2 linked regions of the Diceros bicornis minor genome follow. The protein of the gene in region 1 interacts with the protein of each later gene in a pairwise test. Links are inferred from orthologs where the notes say so. Each region holds a gene or a part of one and is shown on either strand. Other genes may lie near its edges.

Evidence for each region.
Region 2: the proteins of CHD3 (region 1) and HABP4 interact in a two-hybrid assay, tested with the Homo sapiens proteins (3 studies listed by BioGRID and IntAct). The link is inferred for Diceros bicornis minor from reciprocal best matches to the Homo sapiens genes CHD3 and HABP4.

The regions. Positions count from the first base shown.
Region 1 is NC_080757.1:10,508,187-10,515,304, reverse strand, and holds the start of CHD3 (chromodomain-helicase-DNA-binding protein 3), read left to right. Parts: upstream 1-4,110; 5' UTR 4,111-4,134; coding exon 4,135-4,405; intron 4,406-4,484; exon of another isoform or gene 4,485-4,546; intron 4,547-7,118.
Region 2 is NC_080761.1:3,916,091-3,923,558, reverse strand, and holds the start of HABP4 (intracellular hyaluronan-binding protein 4), read left to right. Parts: upstream 1-4,468; 5' UTR 4,469-4,550; coding exon 4,551-4,911; intron 4,912-7,468. UniProt on the Homo sapiens protein: Ribosome-binding protein that promotes ribosome hibernation, a process during which ribosomes are stabilized in an inactive state and preserved from proteasomal degradation.

The DNA of each region.
Region 1 (7,118 bases):
GAAAGAACTCATATAGACTATGGAAAAGCAGAGCGGGCCTCCACCTACTCTCTGCGCATGTAAGCTCAGCTTACAAACTCTCTGTACTTATTAACTGTACCTATATTTATGTGGTATTTTTCAGTACTACCAGTGCTTTCATGTCTTTTCTCAATTAATACATAGTTCAGTGACAAAGAGACCAGCAAAGGTGTGCTGTCAAAACAACTTATTATGCAAAGTAAAATAGGAGATTAGGAGAGAGCAAGCCCTTCCTAAATGCTCCTCAGGTGCTGACAGTAAAAGCATGCAACCAGCAACCAGTCAATCAAAAAGATAAGTGCCATAAAGTAGAATCAAAAAGACAGGAGGCAAGAGGTGGCAAGCCCAGCAAAGTAGGAAGGAGTAATGACAGACTGACAAGAGGAAGAAGCATCCAGCAAAACTGGGAGAGAAGCAGGAAGAAGTGTAGCAAAAAGCAAGTAGACTTTTATATGTGTATATTCTTCTCTGGAACAATATCCAAGAACTATGAAGTAGTGACTGCCTCTGAGGAGAGGAACTAGGGGACTGGGGGAGAGGGATGGGAGGGAGGCTTACTCTTCACAGGATACTTTTAGTACTTTAAAAATTTTGTACAATGTGTATGTACTATTTAAAAGTTGACTGAAAAAAAAAAGAAGAAAAAAGAAAATCAAGCAGAGATGTTGACAGCAAGAGCCAGCCAGCTAGCCAACAAAAAGGCAGGAAGACAATGAGAGACTGGAAAAATGGCAAAAAGACTGAGGCAGGCAGACTGTCTAAGGAACCAGCAAGACAAAAAGAAGAGACAAATGAAATGGAGGCAAGCAGTGAGGGAAGGCAGGGTAGGGGATATGGGAAGAAGGCAGATAAGAGTTTGGGGCAAGGGGGTCACTGAGAGGTTTGGGGTAGAGAGACCGTCACCAGTGACAGGATGTTGGTATAGAGGAAGCTAAGGGAGGAAAAGCTGATAAGCAGACAGACTAAAAAGATACAAGCATTAAACAGTGAGATAGCAGCAAGCAAGTAGGGTAGACAGGCAAGAAGACAATCATAAAGGGAGGCAAGGAAAAATCATGAACTTTACAGGCATAAATAAGAGGAGGAAGAAGTAGAAGGGCAAGATAAGAGGCAAACCAAGATAGGGAACCATGGCAGGGCCTGGCAGGTAGACAGACCAAGGCTAAAAAAGTGATAGAGACAGGCAGGCGGGGAGACAGATGGCTAGAGAGCGAGCAGTGGGCAAACAGCCAGAGAAGCAGACAGACAACCAGAGAGAGAAAGAGGCTGCCAGCCAGTCAGGGAGAAGCAGACAGGCAGGCAGGCAGGCAGGCAGACAGACAGCGTAACAGGAGCAAGCAGGTAGAGAGGCAGGTAGAAACGAGGAAAGAAGAAAAATCAAGAGGTCAGCAAGGAGAAAAAGAGAAGAGGAGATGCAGGCAGAGTGGGAGATGGACAAGAGGGAGAATCAGGCAAATTAACAGATTTACATGCAAAGCACACTCAAGAGAATGACGAATGTTTGTATAGGGATGCACACAGCCACCTTTAGCCACTCACACCTGCAGCTCATGGCACATGCGGCAGGCAGGCAGAGGCGCTCAGCACAGAGGGAGAGGGCACAGAGGCAGAGACTGCGGCACACATGATGTGCAGGGTTGCCCACACACATGTGGGGACACTCTTCCCAGACACACACAGAGGGGCCAGAAAGAGGGGGAGTCAGGCACACATGAGGAAGAGGCACATACAGTCAGGGCCTGGAAGACAGACGTAAGCAGAAAGAAGACAAAGATGAAAAGTCACTTAGAGGTGACAGAGCCTGAGAGTCAAAGGGATAAGAAAGTCTCTGTGAAAAAATAAACACACACATACAGAGAAGCCCATATGCAGAAAGGGGGATAGTAAAGAGAGACTGAGAAAGAGAACAGAACAAAATTGAATGGAAGAGGGACAGGAGTTAGACTCAATACAGGAATGATATGAGAACAGAGGCAAGCGAATTCCAAATGCCAGGTTAAGAAAAAGATGGAAATCAATGCTCAATAAAGTGTATTAGTCTATGTAGGGGGGGGTGGCACATCAATAAAGAACATTTTAGCCTCCTAAGCAAAAATTTGCATAGTATTCTTTGTCACTAATACTTTCTGGTTGCTGCCTACCTATCCCTACCTCTTAAGGTGCTCTGAACACTGCAGGGGCTGCTGGGTGGCTGACAGCTCTACTTAAGCGGTAGAGAAATAACCCAGGAGAGAAATGATTCCACAGGCATGGGATAGGAAGCAAGGAAAGGGGCAACATGAAATCAAAAGAATGGGAGGAAACTGGAGTAAGAAAAGGGTGACAAGAATGAAAAAGGGTAGAACTGAGCTATTTGCCCTCTTTCCTTTGCTAGCATTGCTCAACTGGCAAGTTTTATTTTATGACTTCTCTGCTCACATCTCTGGGTGAGAAAGCTACTTTCGGACTCCTTTTCAATCCATCTGACTCCTGGTACCACTTTTAAGATAACACTGGAGTACAGTGGGAAATCATGGGTCAGAAAGTTAGATGAAAATGCGAGTGTAACCCCCTACCTCTTTCTTTTTCTCAGTCCCAGTTACTTTTCTCTTTGACGGTACCTCAGTTTCTTCTACTTTATCAGTGTTGGAGACCATGGAGGAAGGGAAATATACTGAAACGGGAGAAAAGAGAAAATAATTTCACAATCTTCAGACTTGACTCTTTCCCCTTTATTCTAAAAATCTGTTCTATTTACCCCTAAATTAATTCCCCAAATCAGATGAATTTTATATTCAAGCAACTGGGGGAGGGAAGGGAGAGGTAAAGGAGAAAAGAGTGAAGATAAAATTTACAACAATTATAAATCACTGAAAAGGCTGGGCAAAGGGGAGAATCAAACATGGACTCCTTTGAAAAAAACTCAATCATCCTATCTATTCATATCTCTCCCCCAAAAGTCACTAGGATTTCTATTACTTTTTTAAAGAAAGAAAAAAAAATCCAGTACTGCTTCTCACTTAAAAGATACATATACAATTAAATGCGTTTTGACTTCAATGAGGTATGTAGAAACAGAGTTATACATAAACATATATTTCATCTTTCTCCTTTTCAATGCCTGAAGGGGAAAAAAAAACCTTCACATCAAACCACTCCCTTCTGAAGTATTCAGAAAAAAAAAAAAAAGCTTTTCTTTAAGAGAAGGGAGGTGGGGAGGAAGACTAGTAAAGAAAAGAAAAAAATTTAAATCTAGTTGGACTAGTATCTAACTAGTTAACCTTTAACAATTTATGCTGATGTCAGACTGAGCATGAGTACTGATTAATGCCCCCCCTCAAATATTTTTTTATAAGGGGGGAGTTAGTCACAGCAGCCATTTTTGTTTTATGCAGAAGTCCTTCATGCCCCCCCCAACGCGCATAGACACACACACACACACTCAGTACACAAGGAAAATATCTCTATTAATCTGTGCACTAATCAGTTATGAAAAAAGGGAGAAATTTGTGGGTTTCTGGGTAGAGGCTTGGAGATGGGGGTGTAACAGGGAGGAGAATGGGGGGGTGAAAAATGAAATATTAAGCCAGCCATTTTGTTTTAAAAGGGGATTTTCCCCCCCTCTCCCTTTTTTCATGGAGGGGGTGGCGGTGCTGGGGGGGGGGGTTGTTTTAAAAATAATTTCAAGGCGGCCATCTTAGTGCCTCAGCTCTGAGAAATATTTCTGAGCGCCCCCCTCAGAATTTAAATATATTTAAAGCAACAGACAGGGAGGTAGAGAGAAGTCGAAAACTTTTATATACATATATATATATATTTTTTTTAATCCCCCTTTCTTGTTCTCTTGGGAGGAAGGAGAGAGGGGGAAAAAAAAAGTCTCTCCTCAATTTTTTCCAAGAAAATTTCTGGGGGTGGTTTGGCCCCCCTCCTCAGACGGCGGCCCCGGGGGTGGGGGTTTTGGAGGGGGGTGGCCCGGGGGTTTGGGGGGCTGGGGGAGGCGGTGAGGAGGAGGAGGACGCCGCCGCCGAAGAGGAGGAGGAGGAGGAGGAGGAGGAGGAGGTGGTGGTGGTGGTAGCGGTGGGGGAGGCGGGCGGGCGGTGGGTGGGGGGGTGGTGGGGGGGCCAGAGCCACAGGATGGCTTCCCCTCTGAGGGACGAGGAGGAGGAGGAGGAGGAGATGGTGGTGTCGGAGGAGGAAGAAGAGGAGGAAGAAGAGGGCGACGAGGAGGAGGAGGAGGTGGAGGCGCCCGACGAGGACTATGAGGACGACGACGAAGGAGTACTCGGGCGCGGGCCGGGCCACGACCGGGGCCGCGACCGCCACAGCCCCCCCGGCTGCCACCTCTTCCCGCCGCCGCCGCCGCCGCCGCCACTGCTGCCCCCGCCGCCGCCACCCCCGCCGCCAGGTAAGCGGCAGCTCCGACTCCCCCCCAGCCCGAGTGGGAGCCGCGGGCGCGCGGGGCCGGGCGGGGGCGAGGCACCCACCGCGCGGCCGAGCCGAAGCGAATCCGGGCGCGGGCGCCGTCTCGGGCCCGGCGGTCCGAGCGGTCCGGGCGGGCGGCGGCGGCGGCGGCGGCCGCGGGGCCAGGCCTCCTCCCCTCCCCCGCCGCACCCCTCCCCCGCCGCCGCCGCCGCCCGCCGCCGCCCCGGCTGGAGAGCGCTGGGCGCGAGCTGCGCGCGCGGACCGGGCCACTCGGTCGCGGCTTTCGGGGGAAGAGGAGGAGGAGATTTTTTTTTACCCTCGGCGGGGAGGGGGTAGGCAGGAAACGGCCGAGGCGAAGCCAGGGCCCCCTCCCTGGCCGAGCGAGGGACCGCGGAGACCCTGGCGGCCGGACGGCGGCGTGGGGGAGGGGCGCGTGGGGGAGGGGCGGCCGTGCGGGCGCCCTTCGGGCTTCGGCCCCGGTGGGGTTGGATTGAGGTAAAGTGGGGTTTCGACGTGTGGGGCCGACCGCGGCCCTAACTCCTTCCCCTCTGGAGTTGGGAAGGCGGGGGGAGGGAGTGGGTGTCCAGCGGAGCCCCCCACCTGCGGGGACTTTGGTGCCCGCCAACTCTGGGGCGTGCGGTGGCACATGGGGGAGGGGTCGTGTGAATGTTTGTGGGCGGCTGACGACTAGGGGCAGGTGGTGGCCACACTCCACGCAGACCACTTCCTGGAATGTGACTTGATCCTACCCCCTTTCCCCCCAGTTCGTAATAGGCAGAGCAGTCACTTAAGATTGGGGAGCGAGAGGACAGTGTCTGGGAAACCAGATGCCCCCAACTCCACCCCCTTTATCTCTCCTCTGCTCTGGGCTCCTTTGTGTCAAGTGCGCCCCCCCTCCCTCCATGACCCCGTCAGTCTGGGGTGGCCGAGCTGCCCAGCTGTGACTCTCACGTGGCTGCCATTCACTGTCACTCACTCTCTCGCTCAAACCACCCACACCCTGACCACTTTGGGGGTCGTGAACTTCCCACCCAGCTGTTCTGCAGTTTGACCATCACTCAGCACCCCTCCCCGGGATAAGTCACCCGGCATTCTGGGCAGTTCCACCAGTGGCGGAGGGGACAGACCGCTGCCTTGCATGGGGGGCCCAGCAATGGCCTCACTCAGACCACCCTCCTAGTGGAGTTATTTCTAGTTTTCTTTACAATAGGTGAACATCTTTAGAGTGTTCACACCCCATGCTTGGGGAATGAAAGGGTACATCCGCACCTCAGGCCTCTGGGTGCTGTGCTGCACAAATGCACCAAACTTCAAAACATCTAACATCATGCTCTTTGTAAAACTGTTATATTGATCTGTGTGGCTTATGTGGCAAATGATCCTGTCTAGTTGAGACAACCTTTGAGGGAATGTGGCATGTTTCCTTATGAGGGGCAGAAGGATGTATGTCTGATGGAAACAGAATAAAGCCCCCCGCCCCCCACCAATCTTTTCTGAAAAAGGGAAAAGTTTTTAGAAAGTTATCCCAGAGAGCCCACTGATTTGCACGAGGGAAAAGGAATAAAGAATTGTGGGGAGGGGGTTGCCTGGAAAACAGCAGGGGTGCTAAAAAGAGGGAAAGAAAGGATGTCAGGTTAGGTTAGGGGTTTGGCGGCTCTCATCTATTTGTATTCCGAACTTGGAATGTGGTGTTTGGGTGTTTTTGATCCCGGATTTGGGTATGTGGGAGAAAGAGGAGCATGAAAGAATCTGAGGTCGAGATGGGTCTTTGTGTCAATCCTCCCTTCCCTTTCCCAACTCTGCCTTCTGAGTAGACGAGAAGAAACGTCAATGTTTTTAAATTTTTATATTTGAAATGAAAAACCACCTCCTCTCTCTCCCAGGGCAATTTATCTCCCTTTCAGCCCTCCGAGTCAAATGAGTGACCCAGATACACCCCCTCAGATGACTTTCTGAGGTAAAACTTTGGGAAAATATTTTTAGTCTGCTCATTATTTTTGTCTACCTAAGTGTGAGCAAAATAACCCTCCTAAAGGAAATTTATTCCGGCTGCCCTCCCTCTTTTCTCTAGAATATGAATTTGTACGTATTAGGGGTTTCTATTGTTTTTCATTCTGACTGCTTTGATTTTCACCATTTTGTTTTACATTCTTACCCAAGACCAATTTTATCCCTTCCCCCCTCTCCAGTCTCCTTACATTGTTAAACGTTTAAAATAATAGCACTCGTGTTGATGGGGGAAGGGAGCAGGAAGCCAAAAACTCATTTCTTCTCCCTCCCCCTTCTGGCAAGTCTAGAGAAATAATATAACATAATATATAGATGTGATTCCTTGGGGGTGGGGGTGGGGAATGATTGTGGGTGGTGCGGAAAATTCTGGTAGTTTCTTTGCAAAAGGTCTGAAAATACAAACCCACCCCCTGCGTGCAATACGCATGTGCAGCAGACCTATTATGGTGGTTCGTTGTGGGGGAGGGAGGGGAATTTGAGAAAAAATAAATATATGTGTGAGAGATTGATGGTGAGATTAGAAGGAGAGAGGGGCGGGCGGGAGGCGAGGCTTTCTGCGAGGCTCCTCCTGCTTTCTCCGGCTTGCCAGGCCCCGCCCTCCCGCTCCTCGCCCGCCCTCCTCCCTCGCAGTCTTCCCGAGATCTGAGCCAGGGCTGTGGGAGAGTCTGGGCTCCAGGCCAGCATTG
Region 2 (7,468 bases), on another chromosome or scaffold:
ATAATTTCACTGATCTTATCACAATTGGCTCAACTGGCAAAAAAGAGGATATTCTTTTAAGAAAAATGCAAGTAGAAACAATTGTAAAATAATGCACTTTTTTTTTTACCTTTCCCAACTTACTTCTTTGGTTTATTTTCCCATCAACCATATGAGGAACACAGGGCCGATTATAATCATCCTAATTTTATAGAGAAAAGATAAGCGAAGAGGTAGCAGTAATCCAGTGGCAAAACAGAGCACGTGGAACGCAGCTCTCTAGTGATTCACAAAAGTTCACACCCTTTACAGCCAGACGGGCCCCTCTCCACTGGCCCTCACCCAGGTGCTACTCCCTGCATGTAATTAAAAGTAATCAAGCTGCATGCTTTTAAATTCTTGACCGATCTTTCTGTGAATTTCAAGTCAATCTGGAAGATTTTAGTGTATTTTATTTTATTATTCCTAATGGAATTCAGATATTTAGTAAGTCAAGGTAATTTACCTTTTGTATGTAGTTAAATTTCACTGCATTTCCACTGGCGCCAATAAATAACTGCTACAGAAGGGCATCCACACCTCACTGCTTTTTTTTTGGCATGCTTTATTTTCTAAGCTGTATGGACATGCGTGTGTGGGGTTTTTGTCTGTTTGGTATTATAATTACTAAAGATAGTTTTTATGTCTTGAATTATTAGAAAGATCAGTCTATTACACTGACCACATTAAGCGCAATGTCGCAAATAACTCATGCTAATGTGGTGGAGTGTATTTTAGGAATGCATTTAGGGATGCAATCTCCCAGCAGAAAAATGGTCATGGAAAAATGTGAGGCTGCTTCATAAGTTACCATCAGTAAATTCTACAGTAAACAATAGCCCCATAAAAAACACACAGCCAGCTAATATCAGTTAGAAGCTACTCATCTCTATTTCTTTTTTTTTTTTTTTGTGAGGAAGATCAGCCCTGAGCTAACATCCATGCTAATCCTCCTCTTTTTGTTGAGGAAGACCGGCCCTGAGCTAACATCTACTGCCAATCCTCCTCCTTTTTTTCCCCCCAAAGCCCCAGTAGGTAATTGTATGTCATAGTTGCACATCCTTCTAGTTGCTGTATGTGGGACGTGGCCTCAGCATGGCCGGAGAAGCGGTGCGTCAGTGTGAGCCTGGGATCCGGGCCTGGGCCGCCAGTAGCGGAGTGCACGCACTTAACCGCTAAGCCACGGGGCCGGCCCTACTCATCTCTATTTCAACAGTTCTAAAGGTGTTCTTAATCTTGAAGCAACTAGAGTTGGTTGCTTTACAACTGTTTTAGGCAGTTATGATTTGGATATCAGGAGGGAGTGCCTGCAGCGCATGCCTTAAGAACTTGCTGTGGCTGGCTATGTTGGAAAGGAAACTGGAGGAAAATGGGGGAGCAGGCTATCTCCAGATGTCCAGGAGGAACATGACAGGCCCTTCTCTCAAGTGGTAATGGTCTTTGTGTTGTGGCTTAGTGACGGCAGCTTAAAGATGCCAGAGACAACTCTGGCTTGAAGCAGGGCTTCTCAAGGTATGGTATCTGGTGCATGGGGTGATTCTGGTGTGTGAAGAATCTCTGGAAATTTCATTCACCTCATAATTATGAGACCTTGTTATGACTCTACCTAGTCTTAAGCCTGATTCAAAATGATGGTGTTGATACTAATAATGTTGATAATGACTTTTACTGAGGATTTACTCTGTGCCAGGCTTGGTGCTGAACAGTTCATATGCAATATCTGACCCAGTCCTTACAACAGCCCTCTGAAGTACATACCATTATTTTCTCCATTTTACAGATGAGAAAACTGACAGACAGAAATAAGGAACATGTCCAAGGTCATAAAGTTAATTACTCGCAGAGCCAGGATTCAAATCATGGTCTAATTCCAAAATATATGCTTTTTAAAAAAATTATGGTAAAATACACATTTACTATTTTAACCATTTTAAAGTGTACAATTCAGTGGTATTTAGTATATTCACATTTTGTGCAACCATCACCACTATCTAGTTCCAGAAAATTTTCATTACCCCAAAAGGCAACTTTATGCCCATTAAGCAGTCACTCATCATTCCCTTCACCCAGAACCCTTGGCAACCACTATTCTGCTTTCTGTCTCTATGGATTTGCCTATTCTGGATATTTCAAATGAATGGAATCATATGAATGCCTTCTTTCTCTTAGCATAATGTTTTTAAGGTTGCAGCATGTATCATTTCATTCCTTTTTGTAGCCAAATATTAATCCATTGTACCAATTTGCTATCCATTCATCAGTTGATGTACATTTGGGTTGTTTCCACCTTTTGGTTATAGTGAGTAGTGCTGCTATGAACATTCAAGTACAAGTTTTTGTTTGAACACCTGCTCTCAATTCTTTTGGGTATAAAATATAGGCTTTTTATCATAAACCTCTGCTGACTCCAAGAAGGAGATGACCAAATATCTTAAAGTGTTCAGTAATTCAACAAATACTTAGTGAGAACTTACTGTACAGCTACCTAGAACGCTAAGCACTGGGAACATAAATTGCAATGAATAAGACAGGCCTCCTCCCTGTCCTCCTTGGGAATGACAGAAAATTGAACAAGTGAGTAAAACACAGACCTGGCAGCAGTTAGGATTAAGGGTTCCTTTTCCATTTGCTATTAAAAGAAAGTAAAAGCTGGTAATGACAGACCTGAGCAAGACGCTCTAACAGGATGCTTTTAGAAGCAAGAAGCAAGCACAACTAAGAGTAGCTTAGACAATGGTGGCATCTATTGTCTTACGTAACAATAAGTCTGAGGTAGGGAAGTTCCTGAGTGGGATGTCAGCAGCTCAGCAACATCGGGGAACGAGGAACGAGGCTTCTCCATCCTTCCGCTCCGCCATCCTCATAGTCACAATCAGGGACAGCAGCTCTAGGCGTCATGGCCTCCATACATAACAAAGACCAAAGACGAGAAGTGGGAAGATGGCAGATCCCTTCCCAATCCCTTTTTAGGTATAAGAAAAATGTTCCTAGAAATCCCCCAGAATACTTCCCATCAGGTCTGTTCTGCCAGATTTGCACCACAAGCCTATTCCTACACTCATCATTGGCAACGGAATGGAATTACAATGCATGATTTAAGATTAATCAAGTTTGAGGCTGGAAGTGGGCCCAGGTTCCCTTGGGGCATACAGCCACCTGATGCCCTAACAAAATACAGGTTCCGGGAAAATGTAAGAGGGAAAGAAAGGGCTGCAGGATAGGCAGCCAAGGTCTAGGCAAGATATCCCGGAGGAAGTCCAGTTCAGTGTTCTCTGAGCTCCAGGCGTCAATTGAATATCTCAAAAGAAAAAAAACAAAACAAAACAAAACCCAAACCTCAACATGTCCAAGACTGAACTCATGATTCTCATCAAAATGGTCTCTTTTAGTGCTGTTTCTTTGTGAATAGCACCACCATCCCAGCTGCACGAGTCAGAAAAACAGGAGTCATCACACCTTTCTTCTTCCTCATCACCCATATCTAGTGCATCACCAAGTCCTGTTGATATAACCTCTAAAATAGCTCTTGAAGCTACCACTCTCTTCACCTCCACTGCACCAGCCTAGTCCAAGGCACCATCATCAGCTCTTCCCTGGAGCTCTGCAAGTCTTCGGTCCGGTCTCGCTGCGCTCCCTTTGACCTCCCTCCAACCTAGTCCTTCACATAGCAGCTATGTGGCCTTTTCAAACACATGCTCATGCCTAAAAGTTGTTTCCCACTGCTCCTAGAACAATGACCAATCAAGGCCCTCTCCCAACTCTTTGCAATACAGTTCACTGGTTTTCTTTGAGCTTGAATGGGTTGCGCTCCATCCCACCTGAAACTTCTGCACTTGCCCTTGCTCCTGCGCTCGCCTTCCTTCAGATCTCAGCCTAACCGTCACTTCCTAGGGAAAACCTTTCCAAGCTTGCTAATTAGGTCGGGTCCCTTTGCTACAGGCTGGAAGAGAGGTCTATGCCTTTCCTTCAGGGCACTTTTCTGTCTACAGACTTAAGATCCATAAAAACACGGAGCTATTATCTTCTACAACGTAACGCCTGGCACATAGTAAATGTTCAATACACAGTTGTTGAATAGCTAAACGAATATATGTACTTAAAAGCGGAGTGGCCGATAACGAATGCGGAGCCAGTCCTAAAGAGAACACAAATAATGGCCGTGACCCATGCACCTCGGAGCTGCCTGGACCACAAGACTCGTTGCTCCTCCCAGTAGCTCCGCCCCGTGGGCCCCGCCCCTCCCTGCTGAGACGGGGGAGGGGCATAGGGGTCGCGCGACGTGACAGCAGCCGGCCGCTGATTGGGCTTCCAGTTGTGCCGGCTAGGAAAGGGGGCGTGTCCGCGCGCGCTGATTGGCTATCTGGCGGCGGCTGGGCGGGCGGTGGCGGCGGCGCGGGGGCGGGCCCTGGGAGGGACCTGACCAGGCAGGGCAGGGAGGGCGGCCGCAGCGGGCGGGATGGGTCGTCGCCGCCGGCTTCGCTGAGACTCGCTCGCGTGGGCTGCTCCGGCGGGCCCGCAGTGGTCGCGGCGGCATGAAAGGCGCTCTAGGGAGCCCCGTGGCTGCGGCCGCCGCAGGCGCTGCGATGCAGGAGAGTTTCGGCTGCGTCGTGGCCAACCGCTTCCACCAGCTGCTAGACGACGAGTCGGACCCGTTCGACATCCTACGCGAGGCCGAGCGCCGGCGCCAGCAGCAGCTGCAGCGCAAGAGGCGCGACGAGGCGGCGGCGGCGGCGGCCGGGGCCGGCAACCGCGGCGGCAGGAGCCCGGCCGGGGCCTCGGGCCACAGAGCCGGCGCGGGCGGCGGCCGCAGGGAGTCCCAGAAGGAGCGCAAGAGCCTCCCGGCCCCCGGCGCGCAGCAGCCCGACAGCACCGGGGCCGGCCCGCAGCCGCCCGGTACGCCCCCGGGGGTGCACGGTGGGCAGGAGAGGACGGAGAACGGGGTCACAGAGGTCACCCTCAGCCGCCCACGACCCCACTGGGAGACTGGGATCGCTGGAACCTGCTGCAGAGAGCGGAGGGGGCTCGGGGAGCAGTTGGTTGAGTTGAGGGTCCTTGTGGCTGAGAAAAGAGACGGGGATGGGGGGGTGGCACGCCCATTCTGGCCTCTCACGGTCCCTTCTGGGGGTTGGGGGAGTGCAGGCTTGGGCTGGGGGTCTCAGAGCCCCGAAACTGAGCCTTTCCAAGTTGGGCAAAGTTGAGGGATATTGCTGGGGTGCCGTGTGGGGGCTAAAAGTGAGGTCGCTATCCCAGGGCTCTCAAATCTAGAGCCAGCAGGGACTTTCTCCTCCTGCAGCCCAAGCTCTGCAAGATTCGGGTTGGGAGGTAGGAGAACCGTGGTGGGGGGGAGCGCCTCCGGCCCCTGGGTGCGGCGAGAGCAGGGGTTTGCGGCCCGGGGCCGAGGGTCGAGCCTCTGTGATGGAGGGAAGGCCTGGTGACCGCGGGGGGCCTGTGACGTCAGGGCCGTGAGCGGAATGCGGCGGGTGGACGCGGGTGCTGGCGCCTTCCGAGCCGTGCCTGCACCCGGCCCCTTACGGCTTCCAGCAGTCAGCCGGCATCGTGTTGCATCACTGCACGTAGTGTTGATGGGATGTGTGAGTTGTCGGTGACTCAGGCTGCTTTAAGAAAAACGTTTTAACCTTTCCGACAGGCATATTCTAAGTTCCCCCTCCCTGCTTAGCCAGAAGCTCCAGTGCGAAGCTTGGTGTACTACTGTCTATCTGGGGAGGGAGGGTGTGCGAGTCGTTTCTCACCTGAACTGCAACAGTGGCATAGTCAGCAAGACTCCACCCGTGTTTCCCTTTTTCCTAAAATTAGGCAGTGGTCCTAAGGTTTGACTATATAGTTCGACTGCTTCAGCCAATGTTCGGCGGTGTAGTCAGCTCGTCTTTACTGGCTTGCTCTTTGCTTGATAGAAACTGTGCATCCCAGCCGTGAGAGAACAACTCCTGAGTTAAGTGTTGGGCTTTGACTCCTACACCTAGGTAACGTTGACTTTTATCTGTGGAAAGGTCAGTGCAGCAATATTGCTTGAGAATCAGCAAGTCAAGTCACTGTAATAAAGATGTTGAAAATTATTTAAAATGCTTTTGGATATCTGAAGACCTCTTGGTAGGCCAGTAAGTTTATGAGCCTATTTAAACAGTGATAGAAACTTGAGATATAATGTACATTTTTTGTATTCCATTTTTTCTCATAAATCTATTTAGATAAATATCACAATAATGAAAGAATTGAAGAAAGCTAAGCTTTTTCTCTCCCTTTATTTTTTTAACAAATGCAAGTAAATATTTTATCCTTTAGAATAGTGTGAAACTGCATTTGGTGCTAATATATCACTTTTTAACCTTTTGAAAATTTAAAATGTCATGCATTTTTGTTATAAGATTTTAAATAATTGAGAAACGTATGAAAGTGAAAATCCCGTATTTTTCCTACTGTTAACACCTTGCATTTATATACATAAATGCACAAAGCTATTTTTTCCTAAAATGATACAAACTGAGTTGCAACCTGCTTCTTTCACTTAGCGTTGTAGTCTAGTTTAAAACTTTTTTTCAGTCAATTGTTTGTGATCCAGGTGGTCTGGCTTTTGAGATCTGTATTAAAGATCTTTAGTTAATTTTGTAGTTAAAATGGAAATCTTGTCATTCTGGTTCTTTTTCAAGTGTGTTCTTTCAGAAGCAAACAGCTCATAATTTCCATTTATGTAGTTATTGTACTAAATTTATCTGTAATGGGTGTTAGAGAGCTACTCTCTCGAGGTTTGTTGCCCTAATTGTATTGGACTGTGCTTTTCTAACACTCAAAATTTTTAATTTAGTTAGAATATTATAAGTGAATGCTTAGTGCAGATAAGAATCAAAGGCAAAACATGTTTCACATATAATAGAAACATTTATTAATCTCAAAAGGATGTGGAAATCATAAGATTTTCCCGTGGAAATGGAGATTTTTTTAATGTCCTTAACTATTTGACAGTGTACGTAGACCCTCGGGTGAGCTTTGCTCCATAAATTCCTCCTGAAGTCCTCAGGGACTCTTCAGCTTTGCTGTCTCTAGCCTTTCAGGACTGTTGTCCTTGGTCAAAGCTCAACTTTATTTTGTAGGAACTGTCACTGTGTATTTTACTGTATTCTGTCTCTTCATATGGGTTTGGGTTTAGGTCAGTGATCAGACTGCTTGTGCCAGCCTTTATTGGAAAGGGCCGGTGAAATTCAGTTTTTGCCCTCTCCTCTTGGAGCTGCTGATCCAGCACAGAAAAACTAGGTTCGGCTGCAGTCTTGATCTCTTAGTGCTCAATTGTGGGAAAAAACCGGACCCCTGTTATCTTTGTCTTTTTGGTTTTAGGAGAATGAAGTGTTTGCAGGGTATTGATAATTATTCTAATAAGTAGCCAATCATATTTAATGGTTTTCAAGTTATACACAGAAACTTTGGAAGAAGCTTTAAT